Linked DNA regions of Coturnix japonica. The protein of the gene in region 2 binds, or shares a complex with, the protein of the main gene of each other region. Links are inferred from orthologs where the notes say so. Each region holds a gene or a part of one and is shown on either strand. Other genes may lie near its edges.

Region 1 (3,646 bases), on a different chromosome or scaffold from region 2:
TCATTTTTAACATACTGCTTTGCAGTCATTTATCATGTTGATGTATTCAAATATATCCTATACAGAAATTAAAGCATATTTACCGATTTTAAGATTTCTGATCTTCTTTTAGATTGGAGAACATTGATCTAAAAAAAATAAAATCAAATCAAAAGTTGCTGATTTTCTCTCACAGAGATAAACTTCAGATTACTGCCAAATAAACATATCAAAGCTTAAGACATCAAATATGTGATTTCACGTGGCGCTTCTAGAACTGCAGAAGCTGTATGAGAGTTTTTTAATGATTCTGAAGTGATGCAATCATAGAAAGCTTGCAACCCTTGATTTCTACAGTGATAGTCACAACTTTCCTGGGCAAGAAGAGAAAATTAAGACAGCACCCATTATCTAGAAGGAATACAATAAACCTCTGAAACAAGGAAAATTTGTACTCGTTTTCAAGAAACTGAATCGAACATTTCAAATCCTTTTTTTTGACAGCATGAGCTCATCCTGCTCACCAACCCCTCAAACACGCTGCTGGCAGCATCACTGCCTTCTGCGTCTAGAGACAAAGAATGGACTGGGCCACGCTTATTTTTCCCTTCAGCTGATGCTTTCTAAAGTGTTCCAAAACTGGGATACACCCCCAGCTACTGAAACAAGCAAGGTCACAATAACTTCAGTCACATTTTGCATACATTTGTACTTTTAAGCTGGCTGAAGTAACTAGCCAATGGTGTTGCCCCACAGCTTGGGATATTTCACTTTATATAGATAAAAGGATGGATTTAATTTTTGACATTCACTTAATTTTATCTTCTTTGTCTCCTAATCCTCAAAGCTGTCATCCAGACCTGCCTTGGCTTTAAAGGCTGCATACAATGGGAAGAAAAAATGTGTAATTTTGTAATTCAGCACCTCCGTATCAGTTCAAAGATTCCAGCAGCAGGAAAGCTTTACTGAAGCTATAATCAAAACCAGACTGTCATTCTACACCAAAACCAGAACGTAGTTCTATAGTTCCACAGTTTGTATTGTAGAAAACTGTCTGCAGTGAAAATAATTAAATTCATACAGAACAACCCCCCAGCTCAAGGGATAAAATAGGAAAGCAAGGGATTTGAAATGCAGTTCAAAGTCAATACAGCTGCAAAGAGGCTGTTATTGTGAAGCCTCTCTTCCAGCAGAAAAGAGTCATCCAAGCAGAAGGGATTCCTAAGGGTGAATTCATTTTTCGCCTGCATTAATTAAGAGATGCTGAAACTTTGCCTTGCTACTATAAAGGCACCTTTATCATAGGAACTGTACGATGTTAGAACATACAAATTCCAAAAGACAAATGAGCTGTAGGTCAATGGGCACAAGGACCCAGTCTACAGCAACGGCTGCCAATCTCCCCACACCCCTCCTGTAGGTTACACTGCCACACCAGAACCATTTGTGTCACTTGTATTTGCTAGGCTAGGCTACAGTTTATATTTTAATTATTTAAGGAACTACAGCATAGCAAACTTACAAAATACATTTAGGTCAGAAGTGTCAAGTTTGAAAAGACAGCATTATTGCTGCACTGACCTGAAGAACATAATCCAGAGCTATGTGCCGAAAACATTTCCGTGTTGCAGTCAAAATATTGGTTGCTTCCTCTACTTCATGTTGTTTATTTCTTTGAACTTGGGCATTTTTCACTAGAGCGTTCTCCTTTTCTTCGCTAACTTTTTCAAACTGCTTCTTTGCATCTTTGAATTTCTTAATATCTCTGCAACAAAGGAAAGATAGACGGCAAATGAATTCCAAAGCACAAAGGAAGTGTTTAAAGATTCACTAAGCAGCCTGTGTTATGTCTGTTATAGCGTGTGTTAGGCTGTTATAGCTTGTTTCTTTGCTTTCACATTCTCAACAAATGCTGAGATCAAATAAAGAAATCAAAGTCTCACTGCAGCCTCTCTGTCCTCTTACAAGGAACGGAAAAAGTTGGAATTTACATCAATGAATCTCACGCTCAGTGGGAAAAGCTTTAGTAAGCACTTTTATTCCAAACCTGGAGAATGACACCAAGTAATTTATGGTTAGTACTTTCAACTATTTCCATTGAAACATTTCTGCAGCTGAAACAAAAGCCTCTCAGATTTTGAGTGATGTCTGATAAACTCATATACGCTCTTCTCAACTTATTGCTGGTGAGATGTTTCACCCACTCACTCATATCAGATGCTTTTAATTCAGTTTTATCTATGCTTTTCCCATAACAAGTGCAAATTTACTTACTCTTTAACAAAAGTCTGAAGCTGTGCCTTAATTGATCTTTGCGTCTGGTCAAACAGGATCTGAAAGAAAAGCATTAACACATACTTCAGTAACTTCAGGATATTCACTTTTCATTTTTGAGATGCACATCAACAGTGTTTATGAATCCCTACATCCTGTAATGGAATTGCATTCACCAAAGCAATACAGAAAAATCTAGCAAATGATGTCAGAACAGACACGTACCTCATGTTCCAGCCTGTTCTGATGGCACCTGGACTCAAGTCCAAGCGCAGTGAGGATGGCATTACAATCTCTTCACACAGGCTCACTAACCCAACTTAGCTTTGACCCACATTATAACTCAAATACGGTTTTTGTCTTTTAAAGATGACTGGCAGTCCCTGTATTGCTGCTATGCTGAGCTTTATGCTTGATTGTGACATCCTGATTAAGTCAAAAGAATACAGAGAAGTGGCTGTCCAACTGAACACAACCTGTTCCAAAATGTAAAGATTTAAGTGTGAAATAATCTTACTGAAAGAACAAGTCACAAATTCAGTTTGAGTCTTAGTCTCCCTATACACTAGACCTAGGAATAAAAACAAACAAACAAAATCAACCATGCAGTACCAAGTACCGCAGAGCAATCCCCTTAGCAGCTTGTTTGTTCCTCCTTTAAGAAAACACTGAAGGAAGGAAAACACAACCGAGTCCAAGCTCACATTGACAGTGGTACTACATCCACTATTTCATCTCCATTTTTGATAGTTTTCAAGACAAAACAGGACAGAAACACTCAGCCTGACCCAACCTCACGGTTGACCCCATTTGAGGCAGGCAGACAGACCAGCATCTCCCGAGGCCTCATCCAACCTGAATCTAACAGTAAGACAAGGAGCATCCAGAAAACGCTGTTTGTATTTTCCCATTGGAAAAAGCAAAATACCAGATAACTAGAACAGATAAAGCACTTCTTTACAAGCTGGAAATCACAGTGGGACTACTCCCACAGCTGACATTTAAGTGTGCCAGAGCCTGAGGATTGCACCAATCAAGATCAATACACAACGAACACAACCAGATGGCAACTCCACCGATGACTGGACTCCCAGAAGCATAAGCCTTGCAATTCTACTTACAGTAATGAGGAAGCAGGAGGAAAAAAATGTTAGGGGAAAAATTAAAAAAAAAAGAAGCATGTTTTTCCTCAAATGAACAGAAAACACAGCCCAGACCATCATTTCACCAGACTTACAGCCTTCCCAACACGTTACCTTTCACTCCAAATTTGAGAAAGCTGCTGTTTGCTACAAGCTGTTAAAGCTACTGTGCCACCGCCAAATCTGCACACGTCACATCAGTCTGGGTCTCAGCCTTTTTTGTAGCAAAGACACATACTGATAAACTGGCA
Region 2 (4,321 bases):
CCCCACAACTGACTGTAATAACGTCTTTGAACTGTCAAGCAGCTGCCTCTGAGTGACAGCTGAACTGTGTGTATTTCAAGAAGATCACAAATGAAAGCGCGATGTTTTATCTTACAAGGTGTTAAAAAAATTCGGAGGAAAAGAGACAGATGTGAAAACAAAACATTCGATAGTTTTTAAAGGTAAGTCACCCAGTTGCATACAGTGTTTTATTTGGCAAAATGACCCCTTTCTTACGCTTTCTACATGGGCTTTCATAAGCTTAAAAATAATGGTAGAAGGAGACACAGGTTATCGTGACATGGGGGGATGTGTTATTTGATGGGCTGCTAAAATGCTGTATAGATAAGATAGACAGGAGATGTTGCCTTTGACCTGGATTGGGCTTGGACTAGCTGCAAACCCTTCTCCAACAGTGTTTCTGTGGGTATCAAAGCAGAACTGCACACGCTTGTGTCTGGTAGCACTCCAGCCTGGGTGTGGTGTGTTACACATGTGAACTGTAAAGTCCATTGCATAGGATCATGACATGGAGGTGGTGCAAATGGATTTCAGGATGAGGACGTGACAGGGCTGAGCTCTGAAGGCCAGAACACTTTTCTGTAGGTTAAGATCAAGGAATGTTCCTAACTAAAAGCATAGTTGTGTTTTCAATCAGAAGTATTCTATTAGGCAACGCCTACAGATGCCATTCACCCTACAGATGCTATTGACCCTAGAGATGCTATTCACTCTAGAGATGCTATTTTAGCCATACTGGCTTGGTTTGTTTTCAGATGCATCTACCCAGAAGAATCTGCAGCTTTTTAGTCACCAAAAGCTGCAGGTACATCCTGAGGGTCTTTGTAGGCTCAGCTGATGGCAAAGATTGTGTTCTTTCAGAGCTGATCCAGCTCTCACTTGGAAGCCCAGTGCATGCTAATGAGATGCTTCTGTCAGTGAGCTGTAAAGCTGATGTTTCTAATGTTACACATATTTTAATTAAACGGAGTCATTATTTTGGTTCGAACTTCTGCTAAACACGAATTGGCGGAGGAATTATTTTGAAGGACTTGTGTTGTCTGTTGTCGCTTATTTTTGAGCTGAAAAATAACGAAGTCCTGAATAACGGAGTCCAAACACCAACACAAAGAAACGCTCCTGTGGAAAAGAAACCACAGAGAGACCAGCGCACCTCTGGTCAGCATCCACCTAAGTGACAGCGCCCTTCCTTACCCCAATCATAAGCAGATCTCTGCATTAAACCCCCAAGAGTCGAACCCCAGGTTGAAGATGCCGCCGGTCCTGGCTTTTTCTTATCACTTCTCCTTGGACTCAGGCTGGGCGCTCACTCCCCTCCCGGCGCTGTCATGGCGTCCTGAGGAGAACCAGCGGCACCGCCCCGCCCCACCCAGCTCAGGGAAAGCGCGCATGCGCAGCTCAAAGCCGCGTTGGGCGGGCTGCGCGCACGCGCCGCAGGGAGAGACGTTGCGCATGCGCGGCGGCGTGCCGGCGCAGCTGGAGGCCTACGGCGGCGCTCAGACGCATGCGCGGTTGTGCCGCTGTCAGTTCCGGCTGTTTGTTCGGGAAGTGGATCCGGGCCCGCCGCCGTCCCCTCCCCCTCCTCCCTCCCGCCGCGCTCCCGCCGCTCCCGGCCATGGCCCGGGATTACGACCACCTCTTCAAGCTGCTCATCATCGGCGACAGCGGTGAGGGCTCGCGGCCCGACCCTCCCCGGCCTTTAGGCACTGAGGGGCGGGGGCTGCGCGGCGCGGCGGGGCCTGAGGGGGGCGGCGGGGCCGGGCTGGGCCCGGCGGGGTGTGTGTGTATGTGTGTGTATGTGTGTATATGTGTGTGTGTGTGTGTATGTGTGTATGTGTGTGTGTATGTGGGTGTATGTGTGGGGGGGTTGGGGCTGTGTCACCCTGTGGGGACCGCAGCGCTGTGCGGGATGCTGCGGTGAGCGGCACAGCCACAGCCAAGGGTGGGTGACATCGGTGTGTGTGGGGCGCAGGATGGTCGCTGTCGGGATGGGAGGGAGTTCCCTCCTGAGGTGGCCGAGATAAAGGCCCCGGCAGTGTTGCTTGCACTGCAGCAGTCGCCGCTTTCTCTTCGCTGTTAATTCTTCGTTATTAACCGAGCCGTCCCTCGGGACTGCCTGAAATCTCAGTTCTGGAGTTCGACGTTTCTTTAAATCCTTGATGAGATCGAAGCGTTTGTAGTCCTGGTATGTGTGTAAATACCTGGGAGAGCTGCAGAGAAAGGGTCGTTACACGTTTTGGAAATAAACCATTGAATGATTCTACAGCACTTTCAGAAACTTCTGGAGGGCCGGCGGTGAGCTCAGGTTGTGCCCAGTGCTTTGGACTAGGATGTGGGGCTGGGAGATCCATCCCACCCTCGGTCCCATTCAGTGCTGGTAACCCTCCAGCAGCTCACAGTTACATTTCCATAAGCCGGAGTAGATGGCATCCACCCTCTTCTTTTAATAGAGGTGTGGTCCATAAGGCAGCAGGTCCCAGCACGCAGCGTTGCTCGCTCTTGGCAGTTGTCATCTCCAGAAGCTTTTGCTGTATGTAAAAATATTTTATTCTATGCTAAACTGTGTCTGCAAGAAGGAAAAGGCTGTTTTTAAGACGGGAATGGGAAGAAAGGCTGAGAGCTTCAGAACAGCTTAAAACCCTGGGCACTTCTGAGAGCTCGTGGATTATTAAAACCAAATGCTGCTTTCTGAGTAAAGCAGTAACGCTGCTGCTTGCTGATGAGTTCCAAACTGTTCAGGCAAGATAAACAGGATGGTGAAAACTCTGAGGAAGGCTTCCACTTGTCTTGAACAATTAAATGGAACGTCTGAGCTGAGTCATACTGTGCAGAGTCCTTGTGCTGCATCCAGAGAGGAGAAAAGTGCTGTAAGAACGGTCTGGCTGTATGAGGTTCTCTTTTGCTGTAATTAAATCTCACTGTGTAATCTGGAGATTGATTTTCCTTTTTCTTTTTTTTTTGCTTACCACAACAGTAATGCTTTGTCCCTGCTTCCACACATCAATCTGTTCGCCTTGTTTGTTGCTGTTCAGAAAGGCCTTGTAATAGGAAGTGGACTGATATCTGGGTGAATGATAGTGTTTCATCCACTTTCCTCTGTAAGCAAATTTGTCCAGGGTAGTAGGTTTGTGTGTTTTTAGATCACGTCGTCTGGAGAAGCTGCTGTTAATCTCAGTTGTTCCAAACGTTTAAAAATAACCCGGATGATCAGTGCTTTGTGTGTGTGTCACTTCATTTGTGCTTTTTAATTTGCTTCACTGCTCAGTAAGATACGGGTTTTAGAAACCAACAGGGCTCAGAAATTTGCTTTTAATGTTGATTTTGCCAAGTCAGTAGGCTGTTTGTGTTTTGTTTCATTTGACTGTCTGCAGCAAGACAGGAGCCCTGTTATCCTTCTCCCTTCAGATCTTCAAATAACTCTATGTAGGAAGCAGAGGATGAAGAAGAGTGTGGTTTCTCAGCACTTGCAGCATGCGGGTCAGGGGCAGCGTATGTTCAGTGTGATCGTTGTCATCTGGAGCTTAAGGAACTTGCTGAGCTCGGGAGGCTTCTCTTCTTTGGAAGCCAGCTGAGAGCTGTGCATGAGGTTGAGTCTCTACTGCAGTGCACGGGCTGACGGAGCAGTGGTCATGTGCAGCCCATGCAGCTCTGCAGCATAGCTTGGGGCTGGCTGGCCTCTTCATAAAGTGCTGTGGTCTGACATGTCTGTGGGTTCCAGCGTCTATTTTCTTTTTATTAAGCTGGAGGCGAAGGCGGTTTGATGAGAGAGCAGGGTACTTGCTGAAGACTTGTATTTTCTTCTTCTTTAAGCTGACTGGCACTTTGCATGGGATTAGCTCTTCCTAAAGAACTAGTGTGTTATTAAAGTTTGGGAGCTGCTCTGCTGCCTTTTTTGAGCTCTGAGACATATCTTCAATATATATGTGCTATGTCTGTGGGTTTTTTTCCCCCTCTCCTTAATGAGAAATGAGTAAACCATCTCTGAATGTATGGTGACTTAAAGTGCTGTTGAGATCTGGTTTACTGGTATAATGCTGGTTTTGGTTGTGGTTTTTTATTTTTTATTTTATTTTTTATTTATTATTATTTTTTCCCTTGGATTTTGTTCCATTTTTTTGCTGACATCTATCTTCAGATGTGAACAGAGAAGAAATATTCGTAGGAGCTTAAAGTGCTTTGGGCTGGAGGGGACCTTTAAGACCATCCAGTTCCAACCCCCTGCTATAGTCAGGGACTGAGCAGGTTGCTCACAGCCCCATGCAACCTGGCCTTGAGTGCTTCCAGGGCCTCAAGGCATCCA

Evidence for each region. Proteins that work in one complex are often made in the same cells at the same time.
Region 1: the proteins of RAB35 (region 2) and ACAP2 are in contact, whole or in part, in a crystal structure (PDB 6IF3), measured with the Homo sapiens proteins. The link is inferred for Coturnix japonica from reciprocal best matches to the Homo sapiens genes RAB35 and ACAP2. Residues at the interface, in NP_006852.1 of Homo sapiens: Arg3, Asp4, Tyr5, Leu8, Ile41, Gly42, Val43, Asp44, Phe45, Ile47, Lys58, Gln60, Trp62, Phe70, Arg71, Thr72, Ile73, Thr76, Arg79; in NP_036419.3 of Homo sapiens: Val715, Ala718, Asn719, Ala720, Asp721, Val723, Thr724, Arg727, Leu728, Arg730, Met731, Glu734, Met735, Ser738, Glu748, Thr749, Gln751, Arg755, Asp756, Gln759, Met760.

What each region holds. Positions count from the first base shown.
Region 1 is NC_029524.1:10,923,450-10,927,095, reverse strand, and holds part of ACAP2 (arf-GAP with coiled-coil, ANK repeat and PH domain-containing protein 2), read right to left. Parts: intron 2,313-3,646; coding exon 2,254-2,312; intron 1,745-2,253; coding exon 1,561-1,744; intron 129-1,560; coding exon 84-128; intron 1-83. UniProt on the Homo sapiens protein: GTPase-activating protein (GAP) for ADP ribosylation factor 6 (ARF6). Doesn't show GAP activity for RAB35.
Region 2 is NC_029530.1:8,409,420-8,413,740, forward strand, and holds the start of RAB35 (ras-related protein Rab-35), read left to right. Parts: upstream 1-1,470; 5' UTR 1,471-1,525; coding exon 1,526-1,688; intron 1,689-4,321. UniProt on the Homo sapiens protein: The small GTPases Rab are key regulators of intracellular membrane trafficking, from the formation of transport vesicles to their fusion with membranes.